Sus scrofa: one gene and its partners. The protein of the gene in region 2 interacts with the protein of the main gene of each other region in a pairwise test. Links are inferred from orthologs where the notes say so. Each region holds a gene or a part of one and is shown on either strand. Other genes may lie near its edges. The genes, in order: PSMD3, ZBTB43 and SYT6.

The links.
Region 1: the proteins of ZBTB43 (region 2) and PSMD3 interact in binary tests that used the Homo sapiens proteins (3 or more experiments, as listed by UniProt). The two-hybrid records come from large-scale screens. The link is inferred for Sus scrofa from reciprocal best matches to the Homo sapiens genes ZBTB43 and PSMD3.
Region 3: the proteins of ZBTB43 (region 2) and SYT6 interact in binary tests that used the Homo sapiens proteins (3 or more experiments, as listed by UniProt). The two-hybrid records come from large-scale screens. The link is inferred for Sus scrofa from reciprocal best matches to the Homo sapiens genes ZBTB43 and SYT6.

Annotation. Positions count from the first base shown.
Region 1 is NC_010454.4:22,357,751-22,362,060, forward strand, and holds the start of PSMD3 (26S proteasome non-ATPase regulatory subunit 3), read right to left. Parts: upstream 2,801-4,310; 5' UTR 2,621-2,800; coding exon 2,401-2,620; intron 1-2,400.
Region 2 is NC_010443.5:267,404,930-267,408,578, reverse strand, and holds part of ZBTB43 (zinc finger and BTB domain-containing protein 43), read right to left. Parts: intron 361-3,649; 5' UTR 338-360; coding exon 1-337. UniProt on the Homo sapiens protein: May be involved in transcriptional regulation.
Region 3 is NC_010446.5:106,471,286-106,474,934, reverse strand, and holds part of SYT6 (synaptotagmin-6), read right to left. Parts: intron 2,751-3,649; coding exon 2,630-2,750; intron 1-2,629.

The DNA of each region.
Region 1 (4,310 bases), on a different chromosome or scaffold from region 2:
CTTTGTAAATTCAGCATATGGTGCCTGGGTCACATTAATGATATATACTAATGATAACAGCTAATATTTATGAAGGGTTTTACTAGGTTTTTGGGTTTTTTTGGCCACATCATGTGGTGGCTTGACGTGGGATCTTAGTTCCCAGACCAAGGACAGAACCTGGGGTGCAGTGATGAAAGTGCCGAATCCTAACTATTAGACTACCAGGGAACTCCCCTTTATTATGTTAGGCACCATTCTAAGCTTTTTTCTTTTTTTAATGGCTGTTCCTGGGCGAGGGGCTGAATCCGAGCTGCAGCTGTGATCTATTCTGCAGCTGGGCCAAAGCCAGCTCCTCTAACCCAATGAGTTGTGCTGGGGAACGAACCAGTGCCTCTGCAGCAACCCAAGTTGTCGCAATCAGGTTCTTAACCCACTGTGTCACAGTGGGAACTCCTAGTTCTAAGCATTTGAATCGTCACAATAACTCAATTAAGTAAACACTAGTACTTTCATTTGTAGAGATAAGAAAACTAATTTCAGAGCTCATATTCTTTGCCACTATGTCAGGTATTCAATAAATGTTTCTGGAATACACTGAGTGCTATGTTTACGGATGTGTTACATGAAAGCACACAAACCCATCTGTATTTAGTTATGCCCTGTTCCTAACTGGTTATATAGCCTTGATCTCCATTATGGGAGAACAGCTCAAAAATTCATGGGAAAAATGTTAACCATGGCTGTTTTTACCCCCTTCTACTTCAGAGCTTTCATATTAAATGAGGTGTTTAAAAGAAACATGAGAGTTCCCTGGTGGCTCAGTAGGTTAAGGACCTGGCATTGTCATTGCTGTGGTGTGGGTTCGATCACTGGCTTGGAAACTTTCGCATATAGTCGACTCTCATAAACCGCAAAAAAGGATCTTATTTAGATAATAAGTCTGCTGTCCAACTTTATTTTATTTTATTTTATTTTTTGGTCTTTTTTTGCTATTTCTTGGGTCGCTCCCGTGGCATATGGAGGTTGCCAGGCTAGGGGTCGAATCAGAGCTGTAGCCACCAGCCTATGCCAGAGCCACAGCAACGCGGGATCCGAGCCGCGTCTGCGACCTACACCACAGCTCACGGCAACGCCGGATCCTTAACCCACTGAGCAAGGGCAGGGACCGAACCCGCAACCTCATGGTTCCTAGTCGGATTCGTTAACCACTGCGCCACGACGGGAACTCCTGCTGTCCAACTTTAGAGTAGGAGCTCATGCAGTCAACACTATCACACTCTCAAAACACCACTCAGGTGCATCAATTTGCTTATTTCCATGTGTTTTTTGTTTTGTTTGGTTTTTCAGGGCCTCACCCATGGCATATGGAGGTTCCCAGGCTAGGGGTTGAATTGGAGCTGTAGGTGCCAGCCTATACAACAGCCACAGCATGCCAGATCCACTCTGTGTCTGCGACCTACACCCCAGCTCACGGCAACACTGGATCCTTAACCCACTGAGTGAGGCCAGGGGTCGAACCCGCAACCTCATGGTTCCTAGTCCGATTTGTTTCCTCTGAGCCACAACGGGAACTCCTACTTCAATGTTTTTGAGCGAGGTTCTTATGCAGTTAAGTACAGAGAAAATCAATAAATAGTCTGGTCCTATTTGATCCAGAACAGAAAAACAACATCAAGATCACAATGAGAAGCTCTCACTCTACCCACTCCGAATGTGGACAGGGAGCTCTGAGTAAGAAAAGCGAAATATGAACTTGGAGGAACGAGAGAATGATAGGAAACTGGCAACAGGTGCCGAGGAGAAAAGAAATGGGCTGGGGGTTGTTTAGGTGGAAGGCAAGTACGAGGAACTCAAACAAGGTGTGTAATATATTTAAACTTTAGAAACAGTAGGAGTTTGGGCTTAGAGGAGGAGAAACAGGGCAAAGGGGATCGCGCGGGCATCTCAATTACAGCAACTAGGAAGCAAGATGCTATGTAAAAAGAGCTCTTTTAGGGCAGTTTGCTAAAGGTAGTTAAGACAACAAACCATTCTTAAAACTCGGGGCCAGTATTCTGCGTCATCCTGACCTCCTTCGCACATGACTACACTGGTTTTTAGAGAGGTCAATCATACACTGGGGACGCCAGAATCAGTGTAAAAGGAGTAATAACGTCAGAGGAGAGAATTCAGAAAAGGGAGTCTACGGGCCCAATGACATCTAGTTCTGGACGCAACCCCAGGTTGCGGAGAGGTGTGTGCGAAGGGCCTGAGCCCGGAGAGAAGGCTCGGCTAGTGAGGCTGGGGTCGGAGTGTGAGGGAAGTAGGGGCGGGCACCTGGGGGTGATCTCAACGAACTAGGGGTGGTAGAGGCTGCGCTGGATCACCGCGGCGCTGTCACCCGTGGTCATGGCATGCCCACGGCCCGCGCTCTCGTACCCTCCAAGGTGACGGTGTCCAGCTCTCGCTGGGAGTGCTCAGCCGCCGCCGCTGCCGCCTTGCCATCGGTCTCCCCGGTTGATGCGCCACCGGCCGCTGCCTCTTCTTTCATCTCCACATCTTGAGGGGCTGGGGGCGGCGGTGGTTCCTGCTCCGCTCCGCCGGGCGGTGGCTTTGCCTTGTCCGTGCCACGGCGCCGCGCCGAGCCCTCCTGCTTCATGGCGCCCGGGGTCGCGGCCTAGTCCGGGGACCGAGGCCGGGGCCTCGGGTGAATCCTCGCACCGGAGACCAGGAACCGAGCCGGGCCTGCACACGAGCGCGGGCTCGCGTCGGGCCGCACGATGACGGAGCAGCTGCAAACCCCTTCCCGGCGCTGGGCCTTGTGGGAAATGCCAGGCCGAGTGGGCCAATTGCCGAGTCCACAAAGGGGAGAAAAATCAACAGCCGATGTGCGGATGGAGGCGGATCTTCGAGGAGGAGCGGGGAGGAGCCTGTAGGGGTTTGTCCGGCTTGTTTTGAACTGTTTCTGTGTGTTTTTTTCCTTTGTGTTCCTTTCCGGTGTATTTCTATGTATGTCCGCATGAGGTCCCCTCAGGCCCCCACTGGGTCACTGCGGACTCTAAGCACCCAACTTCGATGAAATGGGTAGGGTCTATCCAAGCGCAGAGCGTGATGACGCCACGAGTTGCCAGGCGAGTTTCATGCCTAAACTCGCTCAATTTGCAGTTCTCAACCGCCGCTTGATGCAACTGGCGCGAGAGAAGAAAAGAAGCTGCGAAGGGATGTTGAGCTAGGCTGTTGGGCTGAAAACTACACCGAATTGGAGACGAGGAAGAACCCCATGGGATTCAGACTTTCTTGTCCGATTTTAGCTAGTGCTGAAAATAAGGCATAAAATCTCTGCAGCCTGGGAGTGCGGATGCGGGGAGAGTGCATTTGCGTATAATCACTTATAATTTAGTAAAATTTAGGGGTCCACTCTATGTGAGGCTCAGGGCTAGCACATTTCAGGGGGCAGGGTGGTGGAAAAAACAAACAAACAAACAAACAAAAAAAAAACAGCTCCAGAAGTTCTCTTTGTGGCTCAGCAGTAACAAACCCGACTAATATACATGAAGATGCAGGTTCAATCCCTGGCCTCGCTCAGCGGCTTAGGAATCTGGCGTTGCCATAAACTGCGGTGTAGGTCGCAGACGTAGCTCGGGTCTGGCATGTTGCTGTGGCTGTGGTGTAGGCTGGCTGCTGCAGCTCGAATTCCAACCCTAGCCTGGGAACTTCCATATGCTGCAGGTGCAGCCCTAAAAAGCAAACAAAAACAAAAAACAAAAAAAAACCCCGCAAACCAACACTCCCCACCCCCCCGCGCGCCAGAAAAAAAACAACCCAGAAAAACAGCTCCAGAGCGTGGTCTGCTGGAAGCTCTGCTCTGGGCTGCCATGTATTGTGATGCTGGACACAAGAGGGTGGAAGATGATGATGGAGACTCTTCACTGTAGTGAAATGGGGAACAGAATAATAGTCTACCTAAGGTGGGCTTAAGAATCCCCCAGGGGAGGAGTTCTCGTCGTGGCGCAGTGGTTAACGAATCCGACTAGGAACCATGAGGTTGCGGGTTCCGTCCTTGCCCTTGCTCAGTGGGTTAACGATCCAGCATTGCCGTGAGCTGTGGTGTAGGTCGCAGACGCGGCTCGGATCCCGCGTTGCTGTGGCTCTGGCGTAGGCTAATGGCTACGGCTCCGATTCGACCCCTAGCCTGGGAACCTCCATATGCCGCGGGAGCGGCCCAAGAAATAGCAAAAAGACAAAAAAAAAAAAAAAAAAAAAAATATATATATATATATATATATATATATATATAAATATATATAAAAAAGAATCCCCCAGGGGAAAAATTTGGACCAGAAACACAG
Region 2 (3,649 bases):
ACATCTGGAGGAAGCTTGCTGCTGTTAAGTAACTGACAATTTCTGGAGCAGGCATTACTAGACGTCCCGTGTAACTTGATAGGAGAATGTTCTCAAACACTCTGGGGTTCATCACATCAGGCAAAACAATCCTCCTGCTGTTTTTCAGGAGTACCTGGTCACAGAAGTAGGGTGAACTGGCAGCAAGAACAGCTTTGTGTGCCCGGAAAATGTGGCCTTGGACAACAATGGAGACATCACATAATTGTCCCTGCTGGCGCTGCTGGTTTAGTTTCTGCAGAATGGTGCTGGAAAAATCAGGAAATTCTACTCGAAAAGAGTTTGTTCCAGGCTCCATTTCATCACAAATCTCGTTCGGTGCTACAAGAAAGAGAAAAATCAGTACTAATTCTAGCCCCTAGAGAAACGTACTGATCACTAAGAAAATTAAGACAAGGTCCACAGTTCCACAAAGTTCCCCCTACTTGTGGGCAATGTGGGTGGAGCTGTCATCCTCCAGAGCAAGGCTTGCAGGTGTAACGGTGCCAAAAGCAAGCACCACCCACCATTCTTTATGGTATTAATTCTTGATTTTGCCTGTGTCTGAGTGGGAAAATGGAATCCAGAAATATTTGAAGCTATATAAATCCCAAGTAAAACAAAATAATTTTAAGAAGACAACATTTTTATTTATTTTATTTTAGCTTAGTCTTTTTAGGGTTGTCGCACCCATGGCATATGAAGGTTCCCAGGTTAGGGGTCAAATCAGAGCTGTAGCTGCCAGCCTACACCACAGCTCACAGCAATGCTGGATCCTGATCCACTGAGCAAGGCCAGGGATCGAACCTGAGTACGCATGGATACTAGCTGGGTTTGTTAACCACTGAGCCATGATGGGAACTCCAAGAGAGTGTTTTTAGAATGAAGTATTAATTTATGGTTTATAGCTCTTAAAACATTTCATAGGAGATCCTTGTGAACTGTGTCACAATGGGATTGCAGCATCTCTGGAGCCCTGGGACGCAGGCTGAACCCTTGCCTGGCACAGTGGGTTAAGGATCCAGTGTTGCCACAGCTGTGGCATAGGTCACAAGTGTAGTTCAGATCTGATCCCTGGCCTGGGAACTCCATATGCCATGGGGTGGTCAGCAAAGAAAAAAAAAAAAATAATAATAATACCAATTTAATAATATTTTTGTCTTTTTTTTTTCGGGCTGCATCTGCAGCATTCGGAGATTCCCAGGCTAGGGGTCGAGTTGGAGCTGTAGCTGCCAACCTACGCCACAGCCACAGCAATGAGAAATCTGAGCCACGTCTGCAACCTACTCTGCAACTCACAGCAATGCCGAATCCCTAACCCACTGAGTAAGGCCAGGAATCGAATCCATGTCCTCCTGGAAACTAGTTGGGTTCGTTAACCATGGAGCCCCAATGGGAACTCCCAAATTTAATAATTTTAAAGAAAAAATTTAAAAACAAGCCAGGAAATAAACTACTTAGGTGTCTGTATTTTCAAAGGAAAATTTAACTATATAAATGTATAGCCTAGAGGTTATGTAAATTTTGAGAGCTACATCTGGAGTCTCTGCTCTGGTCACTGAAGAATTTTGTTTGTAGCTATCTGAAAAACAGGGGGGTGGGGGGTGGGAAGGGATGATACACATAAAAAATTTACAAAAAGTTGTTAGAAAAACCTCTCCATTTAGCCCCAGTTTCTTCCCCCAGAAGAAATCACCATTAACAAACTCCTGTGTATATTTCTAGAAACTTCTGTATGCATTATCAGAATAAATAATATACATCCTTTAAAAATTTCTACCCACAACTGCAACTCAGGTTCAATCTCTGGCCCGGCAAATTTCCCTATACTGCAGGTGCGGTCCCCCAAAGATATAAAGAAATAAAAATTCCTATGCAAATTAGCTCATCACCTACATTCTATTCTACACTTAGCTTCTGTCATTCAATTTGTCTTGCAGATCATCCGACATGCTATAGACTGATTTGACTGTGTCCTTAAATTCACATGTTGAAACTCTACCTCAATGTGGTGGGTATTTGCTTTGGGGGACGATTAGACAATGAGGGCAGAGCCCACTTGAATGGCATTAGTGACCTTATAAAGGAAAGAGACAACACAGAAATCCCTTGTCCCTTTGGGAGTTCCTGTTGTGGCTCAGCAGTTAACAAACCTGACTAGGATCCTTGGGTTTGACTGCTGGTCTCACTCAGTGGGTTAAGGATCCAGTGTTGCCGTGAGCTGTGGTGTAGGTCACAGACATGGCTCGGATCTCAAGTCGCTGTGCCTGTGGTGTAAGCCAGCAGCTACAGCTCCAATTTGACCCCTAGCCTGGGAACCTCCATATGTCACAAGAGTGGCCCTCAAAAGACAAAAACAAACAAACAAACAAACAAACAAAAAATACAGAATTTCAATTGTCTGGGTCTTTGAAATTATGAGCAACACCACATCGGACATCTGTGCATAACTATCTTGGCATATCTCTGGAAATATCTAGAGAGCAATGTCTACCACTGGAATTGCTAGGTCAAAGTATTATGTGCTTAAGATATGTAATATATAATCTCAATATATATAAACTGAATAAAGCCAGTTTCCAGAAAGGTTGCTTCTAGTTACACTCCTGCCCCACTAAATGACAGTGTCTATTTCCCTGCACCCTTACCAATGCTGGATTTTATCAAACAAGAAAAAAAGTGTGCAAATCTCCTAAGGGAATAACCCATGATTCATTGTTTTGATCAACATTTCTCTAGTTATGAATGAGAGTGGTATTTCACTCATGTTTACTGGTCATTTGTTTTTCCTATATATATGAATCATACCCTTTGCTCAAATAAACTGACCAATTCATCTTATTGATTTTTGTAAATTCAGGAGGTTAACTTCAAAATTTATGTAAATTGTCCAATTTTTCCTTTTATGGCACCAGGGTTTTGTGTTAGATACACAAAGGCATTCCTGACTCCAAGATTATTTTTAAAAAGTAAAAAGAAATATTTAGGTTTTATTTCTGGCATGGTTTTTTTTTTAACCACACTCACAACATGAGGAAGTTCCTGGGTCAGGGATCGAAACCATGCCACAGCAATGACAATATGAGATCCTTTAACTACTAGGCCACCAGGGAACTCCTTCTGGCACCATTTTTAAAAAAGGCATTTAAATCTTAATACACAAAGTTTATTTTGGCATAAGGAGAAGGTTGGGATCTAATTTTTTCTTTCTCCTCCAAAATGGTGAACCTATTTTTCCTACACTATTTATTGAAAAACTATCTCAATGTTTCCTCAGTATTTCAAGTATGGTTTTACAATTTTATATGACTAAGCCTTTTTTTTCTTCCCCCCCTTTTCCTCACTTTTTAGGGCTGCACCCACAGCATATGGAGGTTTCCAGGCTGGGGGTCCATTCGGAGCTGTAGCTGCTGGCCTACGCTAGAGCCACATCAAAGCCAGATCCCAGCCGAATCTGTGACCTATACCACAGCTCATGGCAACGCCGGATCCTTAACCCACTGAGTGAGGCCAGGGATCGAACAGGCAACCTCATGGTTCCTATTGAATTTGTTTCTGCTGAGCCACAACAGAAATTCCTGAGAGGAGACTTTTAAAAGCAGTTCTGGAGTTCCTGCTGTGGCTCAGCAGG
Region 3 (3,649 bases), on a different chromosome or scaffold from region 2:
TTATTTATGTCTTTTTTTGGCTGCCCTGCAGCATATGGAGTTCCTGGGCCACGGATCACATCCACACACACTTGTTGTGACCTATGCCACAGCTACAGCAACGCTGGCTCCTTTAACCCACTGTGCTGGGCTGGGGGTCGACTCTGTGTGCTTGCGATACAGAGACGCTGCCAGTCTCCTCGTGTGACAGCAGAAACTCCACACATACCATGTCATTTAAACATCACATCAACTCTATATTTATCATCATCTCTCTTTTATAGATAGGGGAATGGAAGTTTGAGAGATTAAGAAACCTGCCTAAGATTTGAAGTTAGGCCTGACTCCAAAGTTTACATTTGTAATCCCTGGACAGAGAGCAGTATAGACCAGGGGTGGCAGAGATGGGCAGGCTTACCGACTTACCACCCCTTTGGGGCGTACTCATCCTTATTATTATTTTGTATTATTTTTATTGCCATAGTTTTAGTGGATAGGCTTAGAGAATTGATTCATGACTGGACTGGATCAAGGAGAATAGGAAGATGCTGGGTTTTAGAGGTCAGTGTCATATACATCAAGAACAGGCAATTAATGAGCTCCATGCGCTCCTTCGTTTAGTCTAACATCAAAGCGGTCTGAGCTGAAGGCAACCTCAGCCTTATCCTCTGAAACAGGAGATCTGGTGTGAGAGGCCCCTGGCATGTGCGTCCCCACAGCATCACCCTCTGACAAGGTTCCTTACGCTGTAAGTTTGTTCGTTCATTCATTCATCATTTATTCATCATTCAGTACATATTTATCCAGTGCTTATTATGTTCCATGCACTGTTTCATACGTTTGCTTCTATCAGTGAACAAAATAGATAGACAGCCCTGACAAAAACAGGACCCCGGGATTTTCAGAATGCAGCCGAGATTGAATACCAGATTCCAAAGTCAGGTAGAAAAGAGGGGCGATCTTGAGAGGGAGGTTAGAACTTCGCAGGAGAAAAATCTCTTGCCCCCCAACCCTCTGACGTGGAACAGCCTTTAAGATTACCTTGGTGGCTTTGCCGTAAGCTTTCTCTCTAGCCCATCAATTTAATTACACCAGAGAAGATAGTGTGGGGACTGGGGCAGCAAAATCCTATTTCCTTCAGCAGTCTTGAGAGTCCTCAGTGAATTTCCATCCCTGCACATACTTATTTTGATATTAAAATGAAATCTACATTGGCTGTATATTTAGAGGAGGCCCTGCTTCCTGCTGCCTCAGAGGTTTGCACAGTGTCAGGAGAGGTGGTTTGAGCTCCTCGCCACGACCTGGTGTGTGGTGGCAGCTTCAGTGGAAGGAGACGTGCCAGGGCAGGCACTGTCTGGGGCAGCTTTTGGCCTGAAAGACCTGAGTGTTGCAGAGACGCGGTGGGGGCTGGGAGCAGAGGCTCTGAGGGACTCAGAGCCGCAGCAAACACACCTTCCTTCAGCGTTTCTTGACTACCCTTCCCCGAAACCTCATTTTTCAAGGCCTCATGTCTCATCTCCTTCCAGCTGCGCCAGGTTGGGCCTGGGCCCAGATGTTTTCCAGCTGGACCGTCCCCGCTTCCTGGCCACTCTGATTATACTAAGGAGTTTTCCAGGAAATAATGAATGATTCAAAGGAAAAATCTTCCATATACTCTCCGCCAAGTTCAGAGGCACCTCTGGAGTGGATTTACATTGGTGATTGGAATCTTCAAAAGAGCCCCTTGGGTAGGGGTCAAAGAAAATAAACCCAGCCTTTCCCTGCATTTGCTGCTCTGAGTGCAGCCCGGCGTACGTGCCTGCTCTTTGAGGCACTCCAGCCCATTTCACTTCCTGGGCTAATGTGAGCTGACACAGGGATGGAGGCGCCAGGGACTCCTCTGTTACATCAGAACTCAGAAACCTTCTCTGACAACGACCTGCAGCATCGTGCAAAAGGATTAAGCCTGTGACACCACATCCAGCCTGCAGGCTCCGAGCTGCATTTAAACAAGCACCTCCTCGGTTGCTAGAACAGGACTTGCTTACTCCTGCTGTACCCAGCAGCTCTCCTGGTGCTGACACGGAGGCCCAGGGCCCTGCAGGAAAACCTCAAATACAAATGCGCTTTGCTTGTCATTGGCTCTGTTCCTTTGACTCAGTCTGCAGGGCTGCCGCAGGGCTGCGTGGACCTACAGACACTTGGACACTCAAACTTGACATAACCCTTGGCAGTCCCGAGACCTCACACAAACTAGAAAGATTTTTCCTTATTTTTTTCTATTTATTTACTTCTTCTCTCCATCATCAAAGAGAAAGAATGATAGTAATAGCTGATACCTACTGAGTGCTCATTATGTGTCTGACACATTTCTAAGCATTTACATGTTTATCCTTAAAGCAACCTGCATAAATTTTTTTCTTTTTTTTTTTTTTTTTCTTTTTCGTGGTTCTTTTTCATTTTTTTTTTTCTTTTTTTTTGGTCAGGAAACCAAAGCATCCCACAGCAAAGTGGCAGAACTGGCCTTCACAGCCAGGCCGTTTGCCTCCAGGGCTGTGCTCCTATCTAAGAGTACTGACGATTCTTCCCCCTTCTCTCTCAGCATCTCTCCAAATCTAAACATCTGGGTTGCCGAGAGGCCACGGGGCAGGCCCTCGGGGAGGAAAGGTACCTGAGTAGCCCGTGATGTCCATCGCCTTGAGGTTCCGACACTTGATCACCGTGAGGGTGAGCCTGCCTGCTGTGGGCAGGTAGCAGAGGGAGAACATGATCTCCCCCAGATCCACACTTTCCTGCAAAGAAGCAGACAAGAGAGCAGGTGAGGGGCACGCAGCACCCGTGGGGGCCCAGGGGAAGGCTCTCCGAGGCAGAGCACCGTGTCTTTAAGACCCGAGGGTCTGGCCTCCATGCTGGGAGTCCCAGGGTCTGTAAGGCAATGATAGCAATATTGGTTCTTCAGTAGAATTCGGCCCCTTCAATATGCCTTCTCAGCTCTGATCAGACTCGGGTCCAGGTCCTCCCCCTCTTGCTTTGGCCTCACCTGCCCTACCTCTGCCCCGTGGCTGCAGCCTCCAGATCACCAGGCCTTCTGGGGCTCACCACATTCTCCAGCTCACCCTTCTCGGTCACTGGTCCCTTTGAGTCCCTGCACTGCCTGGCTTGGTCAGTGTCCCTTACAAGATGCACTCCAGCCATCAGGATCCCCTCTCCCTGCAGATCTGCTGCTAGCCCTCAGCTCAGTCATTCTTTGTGAGTCCCTCTGCCTTGGCAGTTTTCTTGCCTCTCCCGAAACTCACTTGGTACTTGGGACTGGCCCAGGACCTGCTGCTGACCAAGGAGACGTCCACTCGCCATTCCATGTTTGGGCCAGGCCTTGGATCCACTTTGTCCTTAAATGTGGTCATCCTTCAAAAATGAACCCAGCTCGGAGCACACACTCTGCTGCCTCTCCTGCCCCCAGAAGCACCATGACCGGGGATCCCAGTACCAGCAAGCTTCTGAGCAGCAGGAACTAGGAAACTTCAGAGATGGGAAGCACGTCTGGCTGTTGAATTAAACAGCACCCTGCTGGAATGCCTCGGCGTCCTGCTCCCCACCTGATAGAGGAGGGTGCTGTCCCTGCCAACCCCCTGCCTCAGGCTCTGAGGCTGACATGGGGCTCCAAGCCATGGAGATGTTTCCTCCCTTAAAG